Caenorhabditis elegans: one gene and its partners. The protein of the gene in region 2 interacts with the protein of the main gene of each other region in a pairwise test. Each region holds a gene or a part of one and is shown on either strand. Other genes may lie near its edges. The genes, in order: fkh-6, tbx-8, sox-3 and ceh-30.

Region 1 (6,945 bases), on a different chromosome or scaffold from region 2:
ATATTTCTTATTGAAAAAAAAAGATCATAATAATTCGTTCAGACACTCACACCCAATACATGCCGACGAGAAGAGCAATTTGATGCCGTCGCTGCTCGGCGCACCTAATAATCGTTTAAGAGTTGTCCTACTCTTTCTGTTCATTTTCTTTTTGTACGTCTGGAATCGTAGAGAAGCATCGTATTCTGATGAGATTCGGAGGAAGGATGAGCAAGTGGAAATGTTGCAGAAAGAGCACGCAAGTGCTCTCGAAAAGTTGAGGGGTAGGTCTTCTGAGTTTTTAAAAAATTATATATGTAGCTTAGAAAAAGTTCTAGTTAACATTGTTTACGTGGCCTAGAAAAATCTGAAGTTAGGCCATCAATCGATTTTCAGAAAATTCTGAATTTCCGTCAATTTATTTCTAAGAACATTCGAATTTCCCGCTAAAACTATTTCAATCAGATTTTTTAAATTTCTCGCAGAAAAATTTTCTCGAAAAAAATTAATTATTGGTCACAGTTTGATCTCAAAAAATTTGAACTTACTACAAATTTAGACTACAAATTTTTTGGACAAAATTTTACCAAAATTTTGTTCTCAGAGACTTAGATTTTCTTGCCAACTTTTATTTGGTAAATTTTAAATTCCGATTAATATTAGTTTTTGAAATAATAAGTACTATAAACTTAAGTTTATAAATAAAATTGATATCGGTGATTTTTTTTCTTCGAAAAACCCTCCAAATTGAGTAGATCTGCCATTAAAAAAAAACTGAAAAAAAAACACTTTAAAAGTCAAATCACTGTTTTTTTCTTTCAGTAATCTGGCTGCACAAAAAGAAGATCGAGGCTGAATTACAATCCCGCCACGCCGAATCAACCAAATTTTTAAGCAAAATTAAATTAAAAGAGTCAGAAATTTACGGGTTGAAGACAAAACAAGAAACGTGCCAGAAGGAGTTGACGGATTGTCAGGTAAGATTTGAAATTTTTTTAAAACCATAATTCATGTTTTATAGACTTTAAAAGAAGAGCCAAAAGAGCAAAAAAAAGAAAACAATAAAAACGATGAAAATTCGAAGAAAACAATCGAAAAATATGAACAAGAAATTGCGGGTCTCAAAGAGAAAATTGAAGGTTTGGAGGAGAAGGTGAAGAATAATTATTCGGATGAAAATTCTAGCTTGAAGGTAATCTGAAATTAATTACCAAAATATTTCAAAAAATTTATTCCAGGAGGAACTGAAACAGTGCGAAACGAGGATCAGGCAGTTGACAGGGGTAAGTTAAGATGAAGCTGGGAATTGTTGTCCATAACCATAGAGAGATGGGTCATCAAATGATAATCCCGTGAAAGTGGTTGTTGGTTGACAGGACCAATTGGTATAAGGGGGCATGAAGGCGTTTGGGTACATGTTGCTTGCAGTGGAGAGCAGTTGCTGGAATAAGTTTTAGGAGGGTTTTTGATTAGTTATGAAAATTCTAAAATTTAGAAAAAGTGGAGATAGGAGAAAAAGTGGAGATAGCATAATTTTTACCGACTTCAAAATTTCTCCATTAAGCTGCAAGAGTTAAAAAAAAAGTAGCATAAACTTTATTTAAAACATTTTTTGAAAATTTCAACTAACCTGTTGCTCGATACTCCTCGGATCAGTCATCTGAAGACTTGTCAAGAATGTTGTACTTGAAATCCCAGGGATCAATGGCTTCATATCAACTAGAACCTCCTCTTTGACAGTATCCGATGGTACAACTTCTACATCAGACACAACTGGTGGTGGTTGAGATGGAGCCACTAGATTTGTGTCGAAATGAGAAGTTGGAATTGGGAAGGCGCTTGTGTAAATTGAGGTATCAAATGATGACGATGAGGAAGAGGAGTTGTTGATTTGGGAGGTGTTGGCACTATCAGTGATGGAGTTGGGGTATTGGAACTGAAAAATTGAAAGTGTTAGATCTGCACCCCGATTGTGCTCTATTTTGACCGCTTATATCATGGTTGCCTGAAATTTTATCAAATAATTGTCATTATTTAAATGTAGAGAAATATTTTGCCCATATTTTGTCAACTGACAATTTTTGATAACAACAAAGGGAGTCAAGATATAAGCTGTCAAAGTAGACCAAGGCATGGAGTCCACTTTTTGGGCTTTTTTGGTAGGCAGGCACGCCTTCAGGCGTACTTACCTACTTTATATTTTTCTGCCTATGCCTGCCTATGATCTAAAATTTACAAGCAGGCATAGTTGTCTTTGTGAAATATTTGCACAGTTCGCTAATTTCTTTAAGATCTTTTTGAGATTGGCACAGTTTCCTCGGAGTTTTGAGTATTTTCATGAAAGTTTTTTTTGGAAAAACAATTATTAATAAAATTATTTTTAATTGGGAATATAAAGCAACTTTGCTTCATTTTATAAGAGTTGTAACGAAAATTTCACAACTAACTAGTAAGGACTCTGGGGCTAAACGATAAGCTTACTACAGATTCACCAATATTTTTAGTACAATTTCGTAAATTTGTTGCCTGTTCGAATTTTTCATGGGGCGTTAGCGTTCAGATTCCCGAAAATCTTCACTGGGCAATTATTTACCTTAAAAAACTGGAAAGGATCCATAGTTTGAATATTCTGTGGCCACTTCAACCCGTTGAAAAACGGAAGCTGTTGCTGTAGAATGGTCCCTGTTTCAGTAGTTTCCGTCGTATTCGCATAACCCATTTTTCCGATTCCAAGTCTTTTGACACGTCTGTAAATACATGAACAAATAGTCATTTTTCACGAGTGTATAATAATAATAATCCTCTTGTCACTATCCATACCTTCTCTTAAAGTTGCCGTTGTCAAACTGAGGCGCATTGTCCGCCACCATTTGCCAATAGTTGCCCTTTCTGTCGTTCGCGCAGCTTTGTCCGTCTCGTGCTTTTTTGACAAAGCAGTCGTTGAGTGACAGATTGTGTCGAATACTGTTCTGCCATCCCTGTTTTCGTTTCGCGTCCGCGTCACGGTAATATGGGAATTTGGCCTCGATGAACTGAAACACACATCATCGGTTTTGTTTGCGCCTGATAGGAAACTAACATACTTTGAAAGGTTATATCTCGGTTCATAATAAAGATATCAATGAATGATCAACTACAAACCTATAGAAAAATAACCAAAAAATATTTGGCTGGTAGACAATTTTTGTTTAGGACAAACGAGAGCTGAGATATTAACTGTCAAAGTTGAATACTAAGGTTTTTGGGTCTTGACACGAAGAAGGTCTATATATATATATATTGACATTGTTATTGACTTGTAGGAGAGAGGAAAAGTTGTTCACTGTGTAAATGTTATGGGAGAGGCACAGGGTGCCCCCCACACCAAATTAGTCAGATCTATTAAGGTTGATGAGTCAAAACGGAAGAGTGGAAGTGGTGGGTTACGGTAGATGTGCTGGCTAGTGAGTTGGGTTTTCCAGAGTTAGATTGAACTGAACATTACTAGATCACTTGTGACAGGGTTACGGTAGGGCAGGGCTAGGTGGAAAAAAAAAGCAACCAACTGAATATCACAACAAAAATATCAATGTATGAAACTTACTGTACGAAAATGTGATATGGGAAAGATGATGTAGAACCTTAAGAACTTTTTTTCGAATTTCGTTTTTTTTGTAGCAATAAGGAGCAGATTAATTTTACTGCTATATAATCGTGTTAGAAAATCTCCAAAATAACAGATATTTTGAGGCTTTTCTAGTAATTTCAAAACAATTTAAAGTACAAAAAATATAGGGAGAATCTCCGGAGAAGTGACGAATATTTTTCTGGATTTTTAAATGAAGTATATGTCATTACAAGATGATCGCCAAATTTTTCGCTTCAAAGGAGCATTTTGAACTAGAAAATGTTTCATTAAATGGCTCGGCTTGATCAGTTTTATATGACTAAATAGACTCCGATGATTCAAGTTTTCAAATAATTGAAATTTACAAAAAAATCTTTCAAACGTTTGCCTATACCTGAAAAACTTAAAAGAAGATAAAAATCGGATTTGGAACAATTTCAGCAGCCTCGAAGTTAGTGTAAAGTGAGATAAAAATTCTCAGAAAAAAAGTAATTTTTAAAGTTTTGGAATTGAATTTCGTAGATCTATTTTTGCAGGAATAACTGAAAGTTCTAGCACATATTTTAATACTCAATATGACGTCCAAAAAAAACTGGAATATTCCGCTAACATTGTGAAAAATTTGCTCAAAAATTCTTCAAAATTTGAATTGCCGCACCAGTTTTGGGTTTTTAAAATGGTATTTTTCCGCAAAAAAGTATTTAGTTTTAGCAAAATTTTCATGATAATTCCTCCAAAACCGCTATACCAAAAAAACGTTATCGAAAAGCTTCCCGTTACCTTGTAAATCTGATTCAACGTCATTCTCTTATCCGGCGAAGCATCGATTGCCATTGCAATAAGTGCAACGTAACTGTATGGCGGCTTGTCAATCGAATTTCCCTCTTGACTGGAAAGAGCTCTTTTATTTTCAAAACTTTGCCTCTAACAGAATTTTGCAACGGGGATTTTGTATTTAGAGAAGAAGAAAAAGAAAATATGTTTCCCCTCTCTCTCTCCCTCTCTAAAAACAATAATAAATAAATAAAATAAATAAATACATAACTTACACAATATGAAATGGAAGATGTGTTTGATGGCGAGTCATGATTATTGTATTTTTTTATGGTAGGGGGTGTCAAATGAGACAACGGATTATGCAGAAGCTAAGAGTGAGGGCGGGGTCTCGGAACTGTGAAGACGGAGGTGTGGGTGGAGGGAAAGAAATGGAAGAAGATTGTGCACACTGTCTCCTTCTCCCCCCTGTGTGCTCCTGACATTTTCTGGTGCTGATTCACTGGTAAAAGGGAAACAGAAACATCCAATCTGATCATCTCTTACTTTTTATATTTTGTAAATAAACGAAAAATCGAAAGGGAGAACACGACGACGATTGGAGAATATTTGTATTACAACACAAAATTACACACAACTTTTTACAGGGAGGAGCCATCGAGCATTACTCGCAAAATGAGACGGCACATTTCAGCAGGAATCAGAAGGTTTGTGCTTCTTTTTGTTGTACACAGTACTCCCGTTACAGTAATCTGGAATTATTCTGAAAATTTTGCGATTTTTTAATCCTTAACTTGACCATATTTTTTGACTTTCCAGCGACTTTTAGTCACCTTTCATTCATTGTATTTTTTCTACTAGACTTCCAGGCACTTTCCTTTACTTTGACAGCGTATATCTCAGCTCTTTTTGATTTTATCAAAAATTATTAACTGGCAAAGTACTCCCAAAATAATTCTCTACATTTTATTAGTTTATCATTTTTTGTTAAAATCTAAGTGAACCAAGACATAAGTCGTCAAAGTGGAGCAATGTCGGCGCAAGGCTAATAGGGAAAATTGGCAAAATAGTAGATCAAAATGATTTCCAATTTTTTTTTTCAAACTTCTGAAAAACAAATTTGTTTTAAAATTAATGATTATAAACCACAAGTATCGTTTTTTTTTTAATTTAAATTTAATTTCATTAAAAACTGGATTTTTTTAACTTTTTAAATTTCCAGCCACATTTTTGGGCATTGTTTTCTGTAGCCTCGAAAAGTGAATAGAAGTGCCTGGATCGACCAAAATAATTTGAAATATTTGTTTTAATGCTAAAACGGTCAATTCAGACAAAACTAGCCATTTTCCAAAGCATCAGAAAAATTTAGAAACAAATTTAGAAAACTTGAAAATTTTTGATTGCAAAATTTTCGATTTTTTCGAAAAAAAAAAGATTTTTATCAATAATAATTTCCCTCAAGAAAGTGATTTTAAAAATGGTTGTTTAAAATAATTCACCACATAATCAGAATTTCAAATATTCAAACAATTTCCAAAATTGGATATTTTTCATAGATAGTTCTATTTTTTCACACTTTCAATTTTTCTCTGTGTAGTTTCAGAATCACAAGATATTTTCCCATTTGAAACGAAAACATATCACTTTAAATAAATCACCTGAATATTTGCCACTGTTTTGCTTATCTGTCTGACTTTCTCTTATCAACAAATTGTTTCAAACTTTTTGATCAAAGGTCTTGCTTGTTTCTATTTTTACTTACTCCCTGTATTTCTTTTCACATGAGTCTACAAGAGAGAAAAAAGTAGCCGTCATAAGGGTCAACTAACTACTCCATTTTCAGGCTGATGAACCATTGTTCTTCGATCGAGGTAACATTCAACATCACATCCCGCAAAAGTTGTTATTGGGACGAGAATTGGTGCAGACACTGGAAGAGGCAAAAGTGAAAAAGTTGGAGGAGAGAGAACAAATGGACAAGCATCCACAGGATCGCGATAATAAAGGTGACATTTTGACTGGAAATTTATTTTTTTCTTTGGGTTACTGTAGCTGAAAAAATCTGAAATTTGTCGTGGACGTGTTAAAAAAAAATCCCAAAAATAGAAGCTACCAAAAAATATTAAAATGAAAAAACTGAAATACGAAAACAGACAGTGTGCATGCTAAAAAAGTGTGGTAGGTAAATTGGTAGGCAGGCAGATGTATGACAGAACGGCACATTTGATTACGTACCTACCTGCCTAACTAGAAATATGCCTACCTACGTGAAAATGTGCCTACCATTCTGTTACCGCACCTCCCACTTAGTAACTTATCCACCTATTTCTACCTAGCCTATTATGTACCTACCTACTTACTATCATGACAATCTATACTTGAATACGGGAGTACCGACCTATTTGGTAACGCGCCTACCTAAACAACATGCCCACCTACTGATAACGTGCTAACCTACCTGGTGACGTACCTACCGACCTGAAGATTTGCCTACCTGTTTAGAAACGCGCCTACCCATTTGATAACGTTCCTACCTACCTCATATTGTATCTATCTACTTGATAGCGTGAGTACCTATCTGTGCC
Region 2 (5,022 bases):
TAGGCCATTATTGTGCAGGACATGCAACAATTTCAAAATTATCAGCCACCTACAAGCCGACTTACTCCTGCCTCGTGCCTACACGCGTGACTACTGCCTTCAAACCCCCTTAAGCATGCCTAAGAACATCAAAACATGCCTTACAAGATTTATTAGAGATAACCATGTCGGTGGTATTAAAAAGATCACGTCAAACGGAAGAAATAAAGAGAGAAGTCAATCAACGCAACAGCGGGATGCCTCTTCTAATCGGGTTGCATCGCGACATCGGCGATCCGGACAAGGCTGCCGAGTCGCAGCCTAAGCAGAGGTGCTCGTGGAATAAAATTTCTGAAAAAGCCAAGGATATCAGGTGGGCGATTAAAAACCTGCCTGCCCTTATAGGCGATAGGCAGGTATGTAGGCAAACTGAGGAGTTTGCTCCAAAATGCAGAAAGTAGACTATAAGAAGGTTACCTGAAGTCAATACTTAACATTTAATAAACTGAAAATTCTTACAAATGATCTGTCATATTTGAAATCCTGTAAAACATCTCTGAAGCTATTAAATTTTTGCAATTTAAGCTATTAAAATGTTGACCCAAAACTCCCTCCAAAGTTCCCAAAAACTATAACATGTCAAGTACATAAAATGTCCTTCCCTATCCATAACCTAATGATCACCTGTCAATTCTAGTTACCTAACAACATAAAACGCGTACCGCTCTTTCTCCTCCACCCAACAGTGCGCCAGACGGATCCCTTTACAACTCTCTGGTTGGTGATGATGTAATTTGGAGCCGCCGGCTCACCGCAATACTGTCGGAGCACAAAATTCAGGAAAATGATCCTGATTGAGAACATGGTGCATGCATTAACAGATAATTTGTTTTTGAAGGGAAAATCAATAATTATCTGGAGATTAGATATCTTGTTTTTAGAGATAGTTGTAAACAATGGCAAATTGTAAAACCACTTTAGATGAACCTGGAACTTTCGGGAAATCTGGCAACCGAGCTACAAACTACAAACTACAGAAAATCAATCTACAAATGTTTTTTTCAGTCAAGAACCGAGATATCAGTTGCACATGGTGCATCGAACACTAACAAGATTAATCAAAATTTGTCACGTCCAGTATATCCGTAGTAAAAGTGAGAATTAACCTCAATGATTTATCATCCTGCCCGTGTCCTTCTTCCCGTTTATCAATATTACCGTAGTGGTGATGGTGGTGGGGGCATCGAATATCGTCGTAAAATCGTCGTTAAACAAATTTTATGAACTCTATATACAAATCAAGCGTGTTATTATTGTTTGGTAGAAAGATTGGAAAACGATAAAGAGAGGTGAACAGGTTTCCTAAAATATCCCCCCGGAGATTCATTTCTAGCAAGTATTTGGAGAAAGATGAAGAGGGACTGCACAATATTTAAATCGTTGAACCAATAAAATAATAATCACAAACTTGGAGCATTTGGAGCATTCGATGACGATTTTCTAGAAACTGGGGAAGTTATGAGGTTTTTGGATTACATTTTTGATTGGAGTATCATGAACATTTTTTAGAACTCCTTAATAATAATTCTTCAAACGACAAAGAAGTTTCAACCAAAAAATTTGTCAAAAAGTGTTTCTAACAGAAATGAAAGTATGTAGAGAGAAAGTTGGGATAAAGTAGGTTGAGAAGTATCCCACATATCTCAAAAAATATTTGGTTTATCAAAAAGTTGTCAACTGACAAATAGTCGAGCAAAATGTCAATTGAAAATTCCCTCGTATTATTGATTTTTGGGAAGTTACAGCTGTTCAAACTTTTAATTTTGTCTATTTTCACCTTTGAAACTTATTCCTTCACACAATTCCCCTTTTTAGCATCCCGCCAAACATCGAAAAACCACGCCTACCAGTGTTATCGCTACCGTACCCCGCGGTCCGCCTTCGGGAAGGCAGGAGTGGGGCCGTGGCATCCAGGTGAGACCCCAGGCTCACTCTCAGCCACCAATCTGTTTAGTATTCACTTTTACGCGAATTTTCCAATTTACCAATATTTCAGTTTTTGCCCGTTTTGATTGAATCCTTATTATAATATGAAATTCCAGAGAAAAACCATGACAGATCAAGTGTATGTGACACTTCGAGAAGATCAGGATAAGCTGTGGAACCTCTTCCATTATCATAAAAACGAGATGATTGTCACAAAATCCGGCAGGAAAATGTTCCCGAAGCTTGAGTATGTGGTCAGAGGTCTCACGCCGAACAAGCTCTACGCTATGATGCTTCATATTGAGCCATCCGACGATCATCGGTACAAGTTCAGCAGTGGAGAATGGGTCAAGTCGGGAAAAGCCGAAAAGCACAGGGAGCCAAAGAAGTTGTGGCATGCGGATGGAGTTAGAAGTGGAAAGTGAGTTTTTTTTTGGAATGCTTTGTTAGTTGATCTTTTATTAGATAGCGCAGTCAGGGTTGGAGTACCTATTTTTCAGCAGGGAATCAGAAAATAATTTCAATTTAGAACTGTAATATCTCAAAGGAAAATAAAAATACAATAGTTGCTTACTGATGAAATGTTTATTATAAAATTTTCTACAGTTTTCCAATTGACAACTTTTTTGTAATGACTGTTTCAAGCAAGTTATAACTACTTAAAAATGTAACACATCGCCAACTTGAGCATGTTAACTTCAAACTGTTATAAAACTACGGGCGGTTTAAATATCAAATATCAAATCCTTTTCAAATAAATTATCTGATTTTCTGTATATCTCCCTATAGTAACTTTTTTCCAGAGAATGGATGACCAACCCAGTTTGCTTCGATCGTGTAAAAATCACAAATTGCGCTGAATCTACAAATGCATCAATGGTAACAGCCATAATTCTTTTCTCCTTCAACCTCAGCATTTCCCAATTTCTTCCAGATTTTCCTTCACAGCATGCACAAATACACACCAGTAATGTCAATCTACGAGTCCCCATCGGAGAGCCCATTCAGCGTCCCACAACCATCGACCCGTCTTGTCACTTCTGTTCGACTCACTTATACCGAATTTATTGCAGTTACAGCGTACCAGGTAACACTTGTTTGGGATCTAGATAACTTTGCCTATTGAGCCCGCATTAACACTTGCATTAACACGTGTGGCTCTCTATGAGCCACATCTTCTGAAGGGTGCGAACACTAATTGTTTGAGGGGTATTGTTTTGGGTTTTCTGTGAAGTGAAAGGGTTTGACACAAAACAAATAGAAGAAAAGGATATTTAAATAATTGTTGCAATTTTTTATTAGAAATTAAAGTAAAATGGGTAAATATATTAATATAAATTTTTAGTCTCATTCTTGATTTATTAAGATTTCCTCAAAAACCGTAAGAGAGCTATCATGAAATTTTTGACCTATAAAATGATGTATACTTTTCAAATCTGAAATAACTTTTCTCTTAATTGAAAATATTGAAAAAACACTCAAAAATTGTCTGAAAGCTGAAAATAGCTTGAAAAAAGTTTTGATAGTTTGCCGGCAGTTTTTTACCGTTTTTCCGATTGTTGCAACTGTCTCAGGCGGTTTTAAAGACCAACAGCAAATAATTAACTGCATTATTTAATCTACAATTTTTTATTTTCTTGAAAACAGCGAGGCATCTCAGAAAGTTGTCTTTTTTCCATGGCTCAATCAAAATGTAACTCTTAAATTCAAAAACTTCCAGAACGACGCAGTAATCAAGCTGAAAATCAAGTTCAACCCATTTGCCAAAGGATTCCGAGAGGGAAGCCAATCAGACAGAAAACGAAATTCTCCATCCGCCGACGACTCTACAACAGATGAAAGCTCATCTCAAGTCTCTTCTCCTCAGCCAAAAAAGTCACGAACCGTGTCAGTATCACCTCCATTGATGCCACGGATCCTTCCAACAATGATTCCACCACCACCAGCCATCAATCCCCTTTTCTACAGTCTCCCCTACTTTTCCCATTTGGCAGCCACCGGGAACTTCCCGCCTGTACCATTCCAATTCCCATTTGGACTTCCATGCTTCTCCCCAATGTCATTTCCAACACCTCCGCCATCTTTGAAAAATGTCAAGAAAGAAGAGCAAGAGGATATTGAGCAGGAAATCAATGTAGTTTAATTGCAAAATTTAATTATTAATTTTAAATTGTTATACTTTAGTTCGGGTCACATGATCACTTTTTCTGTTAATTTTTTCTGCATAGAAGATTTTTTGTTTCTGAATTTGGACATAATCAAATAAATTTTATACGGTGTAATTATCTTCCAGACAAGTAGGCAGGCAGGCAAAAATGCTCTTCTGCGGGCATTCACAAAAAATAGGTCTTCTATTGCCCATGCCAATTTTTTGAAAAAATAACTTTAACTTTAAAAACCAGTTTTTTTGCGGCCTTTAAAATTGAGCAATTTTTCCTTTAAAAAATTTCCAAAAAACACCATGGCCGAATTTGTATTTTTCGCGGCCACGAGACTTCAATTTTTCATGGCAATGTTTTAAGAAACTTTTATGGTTTTTACAGTTTAAATTTTTTCCACCATAGAGCATAACTTGCCACGTGGCCGAAAAAAAACGGTGGCGGAGTTTCTTCAATTGGTTCTTTCTGCCACCAAGACTAAATGCGGGGCCGAGGTTTCACACGTTCTAGGCCACGCAATTTCTTTTTTGAACTGTTTTTCTTCTTTCCGTTCCTTCAATTTTCTCCGTTATGGCCTAGACTTTCTTGTGAAAAACTATAGTTCTTTCAATTTTGAAATTGCGAAAAATCGGCAAAGTCGACCTGCTCAATATGATGACGTGGAAGATTCTGCATGAGAATTACACAGTGTGTCATCACCCCTCTTACACTTTTGTTCTCTCCCATCACAGCCTCCCATACACACAATTTCACTACAGTTTTGCTCCTCGCGCGGCTTGATTATCATTATGTTTATATGGTCAAAGCCGAGTTTGAAGTACGCCCGGGCGGCGAATTTGCATAACCCCACAGAGAGACAAAGTACTGTGTCGGTCATGTTCGATCAGTGGTTAACAGT
Region 3 (5,237 bases), on a different chromosome or scaffold from region 2:
TGAATTTCAGCCTTCAAAAGCTGTCTGGTAATTAAAAAAAATGTTGAAACAGTGTCCGGGGAAGAAAAAATGCACGATAGACAAGTTACGTACATGATCTTCTTTCCAACCTGTGCCAATACTTTAAGCTATGTCAGACTAGAACGGTTATCATTTTCTTTTTTTTCTGAATTTCAGGACAACATCTCAACAAACAAACAAAAGTGTTAGTGGCATCTCAACTTCATCTCAATTATAAACGCCAATGAAATCTATTCAAACAACAAATTGGCTTATAATCTGCACAAAACCTTCGCGCGAGCAATCATCAAATTAACTGTTTAATCCATCACAGCTCTTCTCCTCTTTATTAACTCGTGTCCTCCAGAAGTGTTCTGAAGTGCTGGTAGTGTGGTGGGTGCCTTCGGGCGGTGTGCTGGAGAAGTGAGAGAAGAGAGGGGGATGGAGGGGCCGAAAACGAAGTTATCGCAAATTTACATTGTAGAAAGGAACCATTTTCAAGCGTGCTGGACCTCGGATCCGCCAGCTTTGTCTTTCCCATTTTTCCCTTTCTTTTCTCAATTCTTGTAAAAATAATAGTTTTTGTCATGTGAAGTGTATTGTTTTTTGTGTGAGTAGCTAATGTTTACAGGAGAGGGGTACTGTAGAATTTCAAGGTACAGGGTGAGGTACGGAGGTAATGAGTACAGAGAAAATGTAGTCTAGAACGTGAAACATTACACATTTTCCAGTTAGAGGTACAATAAGGGACTCAGTTCTCATATACATATGCCTCATAACTCATATACATATGCTTGAAAATTAAAAATAGGATAACAGTATTTAAGCATGAGCATATGCCTTATAATGCTATAATTTCCAAATATCACTGTAAAACGTTTTATATATACACAGTCAAAAAGCTTTTACCTATCATAATTTTGAAGTCGACCAAAAAACTTTTTCACTAGGAGTAGTATATTTTAATTTTTTTCCAATTGTTTTTAATAGTAGTTCAAACAAGCGGCAATACTCTAAGTACCTTGAAGCCCAAATTTTTCATATATTAAACAATTTACCAAAATTTGATTGCAAAGTTTGTTAAATCTAAAGTTTTCAATTTTTTCCTATAACATTCAATCACGTTGGATTATCTTAAGTTTATCCATACTAAAGATACTCTACATATTTATTAAAATTTCAAATTGATTTTGAAAGTTTTGATACATCATTTAGGTATTTAAAAAATCTAGTTTTATAGATTTTATATATAAGTTTCTGAATACGTTCAGGTAACAATTTAAAAATTTGTTGAGCTCAAAAACATAATTGTGCTGGAAACCATAAAAATTTTGAAATGGATTTAAATTAAGGATTTAACACGTTTGCAATTTTTTGAAATTTCTTGCCTTGCGTCCCGTCCAACTCTGTTCGGAGAGGGGTCGGAAGTGAACAATCAACATTCTAAACAGAACACGAATTTACACATTTTCAACATTAAATATTGTGCCCCATCGTCCATCGTCAACCGTCACTTTTCACCTAACTTTCCTCTGTAAAAAGTTCGATCTAAAACATTGTATCATCCAAAGTATCAGCACGATGTGTTTGTTAGCACAGTGTCATATGATGTCGAATAAGAATTCATGGAAAAAAAAAACGTGTTTGGTTTTTCTTGTATTCGTTTTTGAAAATGCTCAAACTAGGTATTCAGTGTTCCGTTATTATTAGAAAAGTCGTTTTGCTTCACTGAACTAAACTAACTAGGAACTCTTGAATAACTTTTGAAATATTGAGAATTTGCAAAATTAGTTCACAGTTCATGCTTGACTTCATTCACCTTCCTACGAGTTCTTGCAATCATTATATCAGCGTAAGTTGCTATTTCAGTAGGGTCACATAGGAGCCATCTTGAGTATCAATTTCGATTACCGTATTTCCTCGCAACTCATTTTGGCTCCGCCTACTGTCTCTCGTCTATTTGTGCGCCGCCTCTTGTTGGCCACTGAGACGAGGGAGGACACGCATAATATAGCACGCGTCTGTCTCTCTTTCTTTTTTTTTTCGGAAATTTACCATTTCCTCATTCAGGTTTTCTTTTCTCTCTTACGTTTATTTTATGAGTAGGGTTTCCAGTTCTCGGTTTCTAGTTTCTTGTTTTCAAATTATTTCCAAAGTTTTCCCGAAATTATTTGTATTTGGTATTAATTTTTTCAAAAGTTTTGTTAGCATACATTGTCTTTCAGCGGTATGACTGACCTCTCTTGTCTGTATCCTTCACTTTTATGCACTGAAGCTGCAAAAACATCTTATGACGAAGACACAACGTCTGTTTCATCTGGTTTAAGCCCTCCGGGCTCTCCAGTCGATCTACAAAACTCGCTGGATCATGTGAAACGGCCGATGAATGCATTTATGGTTTGGAGCAGAGGACAGAGAAGGAAAATGGCACAGGTGCATTTTAAATATTTAAATTTTTTAGGTTATTATGTAAGTAAGTAATTTATTCAGGATAATCCAAAAATGCACAATTCCGAAATAAGTAAACGGTTGGGTGCAGAATGGAAACAGCTATCAGAGCAGGAAAAACGACCATTTATTGATGAAGCAAAACGGCTCAGAGCTTTACATATGAAGGTAGTTTAATTACATTTTTCAATAGTTATATTATTAATTTCTATACTCAGGAGCACCCAGACTACAAATACCGTCCACGAAGAAAGCCAAAATCCTCCAATCTGAAGCAACAACCTCGTTTGAACATCGCCATGCCAACCATCCCGCCACAATCACTTTTCAACTATTCCACAGCATTCGACTCATTGAAAACCCATGACCTCTCCCAATACTACTCATCATTCTTCCAATCGCCCGTATTATCCGGCTCAACCTATGCTCCATACAATATGATGGCTGCTTATGCGAGACAAGCTGCAGCCGTGGCTGCTGCAAGTCAAGTGTCGGCTTCAACAACGCCAACAGCTCCTGCCACGTAACTTGCTGAATTGTCATGTACGTTACACTTTTTTTTGAATTGTTTAATAAGGTATAGGTATTTTGAATTAACAGAAAAGAGAAATGTTGATCTTTGAAGAGCCACATAAGAGTAAAAAATGTATCATAACAATATATTAGTCATTTCTGTATTTCTAAAATTTCTAGAAAAAGTCTTATATATGTGTTATTGACATTCAAAACTTTGAAACAAATTAATCGGTGTAGCTGAAATCCCAAACTACCGCAATCCCATATTACAGTAGTTGATTCCATTTTTGTTTTATTTTTAAAAAAAGTTACAGTCGATAAATACACAAATGTGTTGCTTATTTTTGTGAGCTTATCGACAAAAAATAAGTCAGCGGCTGTAATGAACAAGCTACCCAAATTTGAAAATATTTTATTTGAGGCTTTCCATATCAAAACTTGAATACGCAATAATAATTTTTGAAAAGTTTTAACATTAAAATTTAGTAGTTTAGGCTCACAATATTTGAGAAATTTTGAAATTTTTACTTTTAAAGATTAAGTTAATTTTAACGGTAGGCAAAGCTTTTGGGAAGAATATATCTTACGGTTTTTGTTGGCTTGATGTTCCGTTGAACTTCTAGTTGACGTTTTGCTCTTAATTCTTATCTAGTCTTGTTTCAAACTATACAAATCGCCCAACAATTTACTACACTTCAATTTTCAAATATCAACTTTCCCACAAGTCATTCATTCCTTTTCTTCCGCTATAAAGACATTAGGTGGTCGGTCACTTGTTTCCGACCGAAATCGGTTCATAACCATAAGAAACGCGTCCAAGTGTAAAACCCTCCTTTCCCCCTTCTCTTTTTGAATTAACACCACCACTAAATTCGACTCCCGCCAATTTGTGTATTGTGCACCTCGCGCACTTCCGGTTACACACGGTTACATTGTTCCATGCCAAATTCTTATTATTTTCACTTGAAGTGTATCGGTTTGATTTTTTCCAACACACAAAAAATGAATGAATGAAAAGGTGTGAGTGTATCATGCGCGAATAAGTCGAATAAGTCGCGCGCTTTGTGTTGAAATGTACTGTTTACTGAATGATTGACATATGTGTGCAGTTTAGATTTGAAGATGAGCAATGATTCCATTTTCTTATCGCTTTCGGAGAAAAGACAATAAAAATGACTCAGAATAATGATGAATAGTCTATATGTGTTTGGGAATTGTGTTTTACTTTGTATTTTAAACTACCATCTGATTTTCAGGTTTGCTCAATACCATGCTTCACCTTCAATGAGCAGAATCTCCCTACAAATGCCATACAGACAAATTGATTCTAATTTTTCGATAATTTTGATTCGAATGTGCTATGTGCAACCTACCTGTACTTTTCTATTTTGCTGTATCTTCCATAAATGAAATATAAAATTTTGTGAAGAAATAACTACAAACTTTGGGTTTTATCAATTTTATCTATTTGTCAGCTGCACTCAAAAGCTCATCACCAGGATACGGTATTTTTTTTAACGGTTGTTCAAAGTGTGCCTGCCGCAAAAGTGTACAAGAATAAATAGGCGCCCAATGTAATGTTAGTATTCAATTTTTGCGACTTCTATTGTACAACAAATTCAATACAATAGATTGAATTGTTCAAGAACAAACTTCCAATTCATTGTTGGTTGAAACGAATGAATAGAATCAAGGAAGGAAAGAAGGTATTCAACAACTTTTACTCCTCTCTCCTTTATTTTCACCCCCACTGTCCCTTGCCATTGATATTTACCATTTGCTGTCCCCTGTCACCTCCTCTGTCATTGACGACCGATACCCCCATGGAGTTACATTTTTTTTTTCGTTGAGGTTGCCTGAACAAAGAGAACAATGTCCGCACTTAAAACGCCTAATCAAATCGGTTCACACGCTGAGAAAAAAGTTGAGGGAAGTCTAAACCATTTCATGGTCATTTGTTAGATGGAAATTTATAGAAACAGGTCATGTTGCGAGAATTTTTCGACCTTAAGTTAATACTCAATTTATCTAAGTTGAAACATAAGATTTATAACTGCTTATGACATAATAATGAGCAACTTGAACATGACGCTACAGTATTTTTACCATTAAACAAAAATTAACAAGTGCTCCAGTGAATCCACGACTTATAATTTGGTCTTATCCAAACCTAGTCAAACCTGGCTATGTGAACATCAAAACTTGAACTTCCTCTTTCGAGAACGACACATCATTTAAAACTTTTTCAAGCGTTACTTTACAAGCATGAAAAT
Region 4 (5,170 bases), on a different chromosome or scaffold from region 2:
AGAAAAAAGCGCCATTATGATCATGATTGTGCTTTAGACAAAATTTGATTATAAAAGTGTTTTGTGCAATGAATAAATAGGAAGTTAGTTTTGCAAAAACATTATCTTCACTGCAAAAATTAAATTTTCAATTTGAAAACAATATAAATAAAAAAATGCTTAGAAACAACACATCAGTCACATATGAGTTGAGAACTATAAAATACGATTAAATATGACTAAACCTTTTGCCTGAACGTTCAAAATTGAATCCAGTGAATTGTCCAAAATTCACAGATAAATCCACGTGTATACTAACACTGTTAGAAGTTAATTTGTTAATGAATAAATTTAGAAACTATGGTTTCAAAACGAGTTCCAATATATGTTTAATATTTAAGTAATAAGAATTTTGAAATAAATTTCATGTTTATCAAAGCAGCGTTTTATCTTTCCAACTATCTATATAACTCTTCAAATTTATCCATAACCTGACACTTCCGGCAGTTCCATCAATTGTATTCGTTAACCTGCCGCTGATCGGTGCAAGCTATAAGTCAACATGTCACATAAAAAGGTGCCTAAAAAGGACACAATTGCCGGGTGGCTTTGATAAACACCGCTTCACACACTTGAAGGAGTCGTTTACCTGGTCTCAATTGCCATTGTCAAAAAAAAAGAAGCGTCTCTATTGCGCAACAGAACACAATAGAGCAGCCACGTGTGTGCTGGTCCCACCGGTCTGCGACACCTTTCCGGGAGTGTCCTTTAATCTAATTATTTATGTTGGCAATTGTAATGAGCTGTATGGAAAGGATACGATATTATGTAATAGAACCTGCTTACCCGGGAGATTTCAAAGGCGGCTTCTGTCTCCTAAACAAGCTCATATTCATATTGCCAGCTTTTTTCTTGTTACTGGGTGTCAAGATGTATGTTCACAATTAAGAGTGGGGGAAATGGCAAATGACAATTATCTCTAATGCATTTTCATTTCCACTTCCAATTTTCCTTTTTTTTTCAACTTCCCATTTTTCAATTTGTAACTGTATCGTTTTCCAGTCAATCTTCCTGCGCGCCCAATATTTTACGCTACGTTGAGTTGAAAGTGTCTCCGCTTTTTGCACCTCTTCTAAATATACAAGGACGGAACGATCATCTTGTTTCTCAACATTACCAAGGTAGCAAATATATAAGTAGAAGAAAGAGCTAATGAGAATGATTTATGTGAACTATCAAATAAAACAACTGCTGGCGGAATGAGGAACGCAATGACTTTGAAACATGTCTATGTACATAGCTGGGCGGTCGAAAATTAGCTGAATGTCCTTCCATGCCAATCGGCTTGGAATCGCGAAACAAAAAACCATTTTATTTGTTTTGTAATTGACGGTTAGTATGCAAAATTAATCGACACTTCAGAGTAGATTTCTCTTCGAAATATAGGAATCGGTGGATGTTAATTACATGGGTTTTGTCACTCCGAATATGGGATTTTAACGCTTTTTGCAGTTTCAAATTATTTTTGTGTCTGGTTAAGATGTGAAAATGCATTGTTTCAAGGACAGAGCGAAGATTGTTCATAATATCGGCAAGTGGCCTTATTCTGAAACTCTATTGCAACATTACGTGTTTTGGGGGAAAATGAAACTATAAACAGAACTAATTTGAGAAAAGCGACAAAAATATGTATTCATTCAGAAAAAAAGGAAACAGAGTGTTTACAACAATGATTGAAATTATTTGAAATTAAATAAAAAACAATCACCGTATTTCTACAGGTTACTGAAATCGTGATTCGTAACAAAAATTTACCGTAACTTCTATAACTTTTTTTTGCCGAAAAATACGTTGAGTAACCTTTTGTCGATTTTGTGAAAAACAAACCGACTAAGCTTATATATGGAGATTAGTAAGATGGTCTTTCTGCAAGTAAGTGAAAAACTGTGAAAATGAAACTTTAACATTTCGAGCACCAACCTGAAAATTAGAGTTCGATATCCAGCTTTGGCAGAATAATATTCCATATTGTTTATTTCCAAGTTTGACAATTCATCAAATGTTTCCCTAGAACCACCGTTTGACAGGTTGCTCCAATTAGCCGCAGTGTGCAGCTATTCCCAACCATCTTCCCCCATCTCATTTTCGCCATCATTTTCCCCCGCATCATCTGAGATGTGCAAAATGAAAGGTCAAGTTATAGATTTCGTGTTATTAAATACAAATAATTGACTTCTCATGTGGCGTTGGATCTCGAAAATCGAGTGTAATTGTCATGACCATGTTTAGGAGGGCGGTGGTGGTAGCTGCTGCTGCATCATCCTTCCCAATGTCAACGCACCCTCTTCTCTCACCCAAATTGCCAGGCCGTCGCCCCGCCCACTCTCGCACATTTAACTTGTCTTATAGTCACCCCTCATCGTCCGACAATAACCAATCATCGGTGCCTTCAACAGTGTCGCATTCCCGACTTTCGAACGTGCAAAGCATTCGTTTAACACTTTTCTACAGTACCACTCACTTCCCAAAATGTCACTTCTCGACCCTCGGCAGTTTCTGCTTCCCGCTTTTTATCTGGATCCGACTACACAAGCACTTCTAGCTCAAGCAGCTTCAACTTCCCCGTGCAACAAAATTTCGTCTTCTTCTTCATTCCGCATTTCTGACATTCTCGAGCAATCCCCAAACAATTCATCCCATTCAAACGATCACGGTAAGTCATTACACCTGCAATTGATTCCAAAATTCCAAACATTCAAAACGACAGCCATTAAAAGTTTTGTGCGCGGCGCGTTACCCATCAAAAATTTACTCAACCATGCTCTCGATTTTCTCCTCTCAATGGTGACTACCCGGAAATGATAGTTTGAATGTAGGGGGGGGGGGGGGTAAAAGGATTAATGCCTTAATGAACATATGAATACAGTTCTCTTCCGGGGTCAATCTTTTGTTTTGTTCTTTTTGTGCATCAATAACCATCAACTTTCAGACCCATCGCCACAATCAATTAAATCTGATTTTTCAACTTCGCCAAGAGCAAGCAGCCCCGGCGGCGATCGAATGGGTAGTCCAGGCAGTTGCAAAAAATCTCGGAAGGCAAGAACCATCTTCACTGACAAGCAGTTGCAAGAGTTGGAGAATACATTTGAAAAGCAAAAGTATCTATCAGTCCAGGACAGGATGGATTTGGCGCACAGAATGGGTCTCACTGATACTCAAGTCAAGACGTGGTACCAAAATAGAAGGTTAGTAATAACGTCTTTCAATTATCGTTGGAATTATCGTTGGAATTATCGTTGGTAGCAGAGTCAATTCTTAACATACATATGTACATTCTCAAATTAATAACAAGCGTAGCCGCCAATTGAGCCCACCCTTGTAGATTACTACACCAACCACGCTCACATTTCCTAATTATTGTTCAAGGCGGCGGTGTTCTATGTGAATATTTGATGTGATGACTTGTCATCAGAGCATCATCATCGTCGTCATCATCAAATTTTCACCAGCTTTTAGTATCGGTTTCATTGGTGAATGAAGTGGATAGACGAATTTGTGCCTCTTTTGAAATGTATCCATGCATTCACAATCTGGAAAACCTTTCAAAACGTCGCTATTGTTGTGTAGTTATCGCCGGGGTGGTCTCCTGCTCTTTTGCACAATAATGAGGCGTATGAGTCCGCTAAGAGGCAGATCACCTGCTTTTGGTCCCAAGGTTCGGCAGCGTTGAATTAATCCGAATATAGTCAAGTGGTGGTTAATACATATAATATATCTAGTTGCGACATAAAAACATCATTATTACAATAACGGGACACTCAAAAATTAAGATGTGAAAAGTGAAGACGTCCGGTCTAGTGGAACAAAATACGGCAATTCAAATTACTCAAATTACTTAATGTTTTTTATAGAACAAAATGGAAGCGACAGGCAACAAGTGGAATGGATCTTCTATCGGAACCTGGAAACCTCTCCGCAGTTCAGAACTTGATCAGAAGCAGTCCATATTGGGCCAACTATATCACAGCCTTACCTATGGGCACTCAGCTACCGATGATGGGCCTACCCATGTCTATGATTGTTCCCCCAGCCCATGCTTTCCAGCCTTCCTCCTCTTCAAATTCTCCATCCACTCACATATCCAGTGAATCCCCTCAGTTGGATGTTTCCAGCAACTCAGAATAGTATTTCTTGTGTTAATTTTTAAAATTTGTATGTAATATTTTCAATTAAAGTCACAAAAACCGATCTCAATGGGTTAGATAGGGAGAAGACGCTTTCTTTTTTTCACAACATTGCATATGTATCGCTTGTGTTATTTTTATTTTGCTTGATTATGTCATTTCCACGTCATTAATAATAATATTATTATTTTATTATGCTGTTCGTGGATGATGACGATTTCCGAAATCTGATAAGAAAACTGGAGATGGTGGGGCATTCAAAAATACAATGAACACAAGACGTGCCAGAAGCGCCAGGTGTTGGCGAGTGGCGCAACCGTTCTGATTTTATCGCGACGGAAGAGGTAAATATGTGAGATAGAATACTTGGCAGGCGTCGTTAACACCTCACCTGTTCGACAAATACCTTTACCTGACAGACGGTTCCTAGCTCACTTTTTCAAAAAATGTGGAGAAATTAGTAAAACTTATTTCTATGGTGTTCAAATGTCCAAAGATCATGATAAAACCTTTCAAATAGAAATTGGAAATTTTGGTACTTTTGTGTGAATCGAACTCAGTTTTCACCAGTAACAATAAACATTTCTCGCAATAAAAATTTTCCAAAATTTTTTTTCAAAAATGATATGTAGTAATTTAGCAAAATTTTGACATTCATAGTAAAGGCACAAATTGTTTTTCTGAGTGGGTCTCGCCACGATCTCAGTTAAAATGCTTGCTACAGGCGCGAATATATACAAATTTGTTGTTAACTTGATAATAAAATTAAAGTTTGTGAACTTTTAAATTTTAAAGTGAACCTAGAAAAAATAGTCGATAGTACATATTTTGATGCCTTTCAAATTAGAAAATTTTCAAGAATTACTATCATGCTACATTTTTCAATTTATAACATTTGACTTAACAATATATAATTGCTCTCTCTAACTCATATTGCTGAAATGGTATAAATTTTTAAGGATAAAAAATCATAGCAGCTTCCATTCTACAGTTCATTGTTTCAATTT

Evidence for each region.
Region 1: the proteins of tbx-8 (region 2) and fkh-6 interact in a two-hybrid assay, tested with the Caenorhabditis elegans proteins (one large-scale study listed by BioGRID).
Region 3: the proteins of tbx-8 (region 2) and sox-3 interact in a two-hybrid assay, tested with the Caenorhabditis elegans proteins (one large-scale study listed by BioGRID).
Region 4: the proteins of tbx-8 (region 2) and ceh-30 interact in a two-hybrid assay, tested with the Caenorhabditis elegans proteins (one large-scale study listed by BioGRID).

The regions. Positions count from the first base shown.
Region 1 is NC_003280.10:4,378,616-4,385,560, forward strand, and holds fkh-6 (Forkhead transcription factor fkh-6), read right to left. Parts: upstream 4,792-6,945; 5' UTR 4,674-4,791; coding exon 4,636-4,673; intron 4,476-4,635; coding exon 4,367-4,475; intron 3,012-4,366; coding exon 2,800-3,011; intron 2,727-2,799; coding exon 2,573-2,726; intron 1,916-2,572; coding exon 1,610-1,915; intron 1,421-1,609; coding exon 1,268-1,420; 3' UTR 1,263-1,267; coding exon of another isoform or gene 1,218-1,262; 3' UTR 1,172-1,217; coding exon of another isoform or gene 1,001-1,171; 3' UTR 970-1,000; downstream 1-969. Other genes in the region: B0286.1 (uncharacterized protein), read left to right, coding at 221-263, 802-956, 1,001-1,171, 1,218-1,262, 5,008-5,067, 6,204-6,366. UniProt on the Caenorhabditis elegans protein: Probable transcription factor. Binds to the DNA sequence motif 5'-[TA]TGTT[TG]T[TG][ATG]TT-3'.
Region 2 is NC_003281.10:10,345,494-10,350,515, forward strand, and holds tbx-8 (T-box transcription factor tbx-8), read left to right. Parts: upstream 1-2,081; 5' UTR 2,082-2,090; coding exon 2,091-2,386; intron 2,387-2,768; coding exon 2,769-2,844; intron 2,845-2,899; coding exon 2,900-3,052; intron 3,053-3,685; coding exon 3,686-4,108; 3' UTR 4,109-4,247; downstream 4,248-5,022. UniProt on the Caenorhabditis elegans protein: Transcription factor. Involved in the control of early morphogenesis of the intestine, hypodermis and body-wall muscle. Involved in regulating expression of vab-7. Appears to have partially redundant function to tbx-9.
Region 3 is NC_003284.9:14,689,988-14,695,224, reverse strand, and holds sox-3 (Transcription factor sox-3), read left to right. Parts: upstream 1-2,225; 5' UTR 2,226-2,229; coding exon 2,230-2,433; intron 2,434-2,490; coding exon 2,491-2,616; intron 2,617-2,666; coding exon 2,667-2,975; 3' UTR 2,976-2,991; intron 2,992-4,220; 3' UTR 4,221-4,395; downstream 4,396-5,237. UniProt on the Caenorhabditis elegans protein: Probable transcription factor. Involved in the terminal differentiation of some neuronal cell types. Dispensable for neuronal fate commitment during embryogenesis.
Region 4 is NC_003284.9:3,061,198-3,066,367, forward strand, and holds ceh-30 (Homeobox protein ceh-30), read left to right. Parts: upstream 1-2,376; 5' UTR 2,377-2,508; coding exon 2,509-2,692; intron 2,693-2,968; coding exon 2,969-3,224; exon of another isoform or gene 3,225-3,429; intron 3,430-3,537; exon of another isoform or gene 3,538-3,687; intron 3,688-3,690; exon of another isoform or gene 3,691-3,836; intron 3,837-3,890; coding exon 3,891-4,164; 3' UTR 4,165-4,354; downstream 4,355-5,170.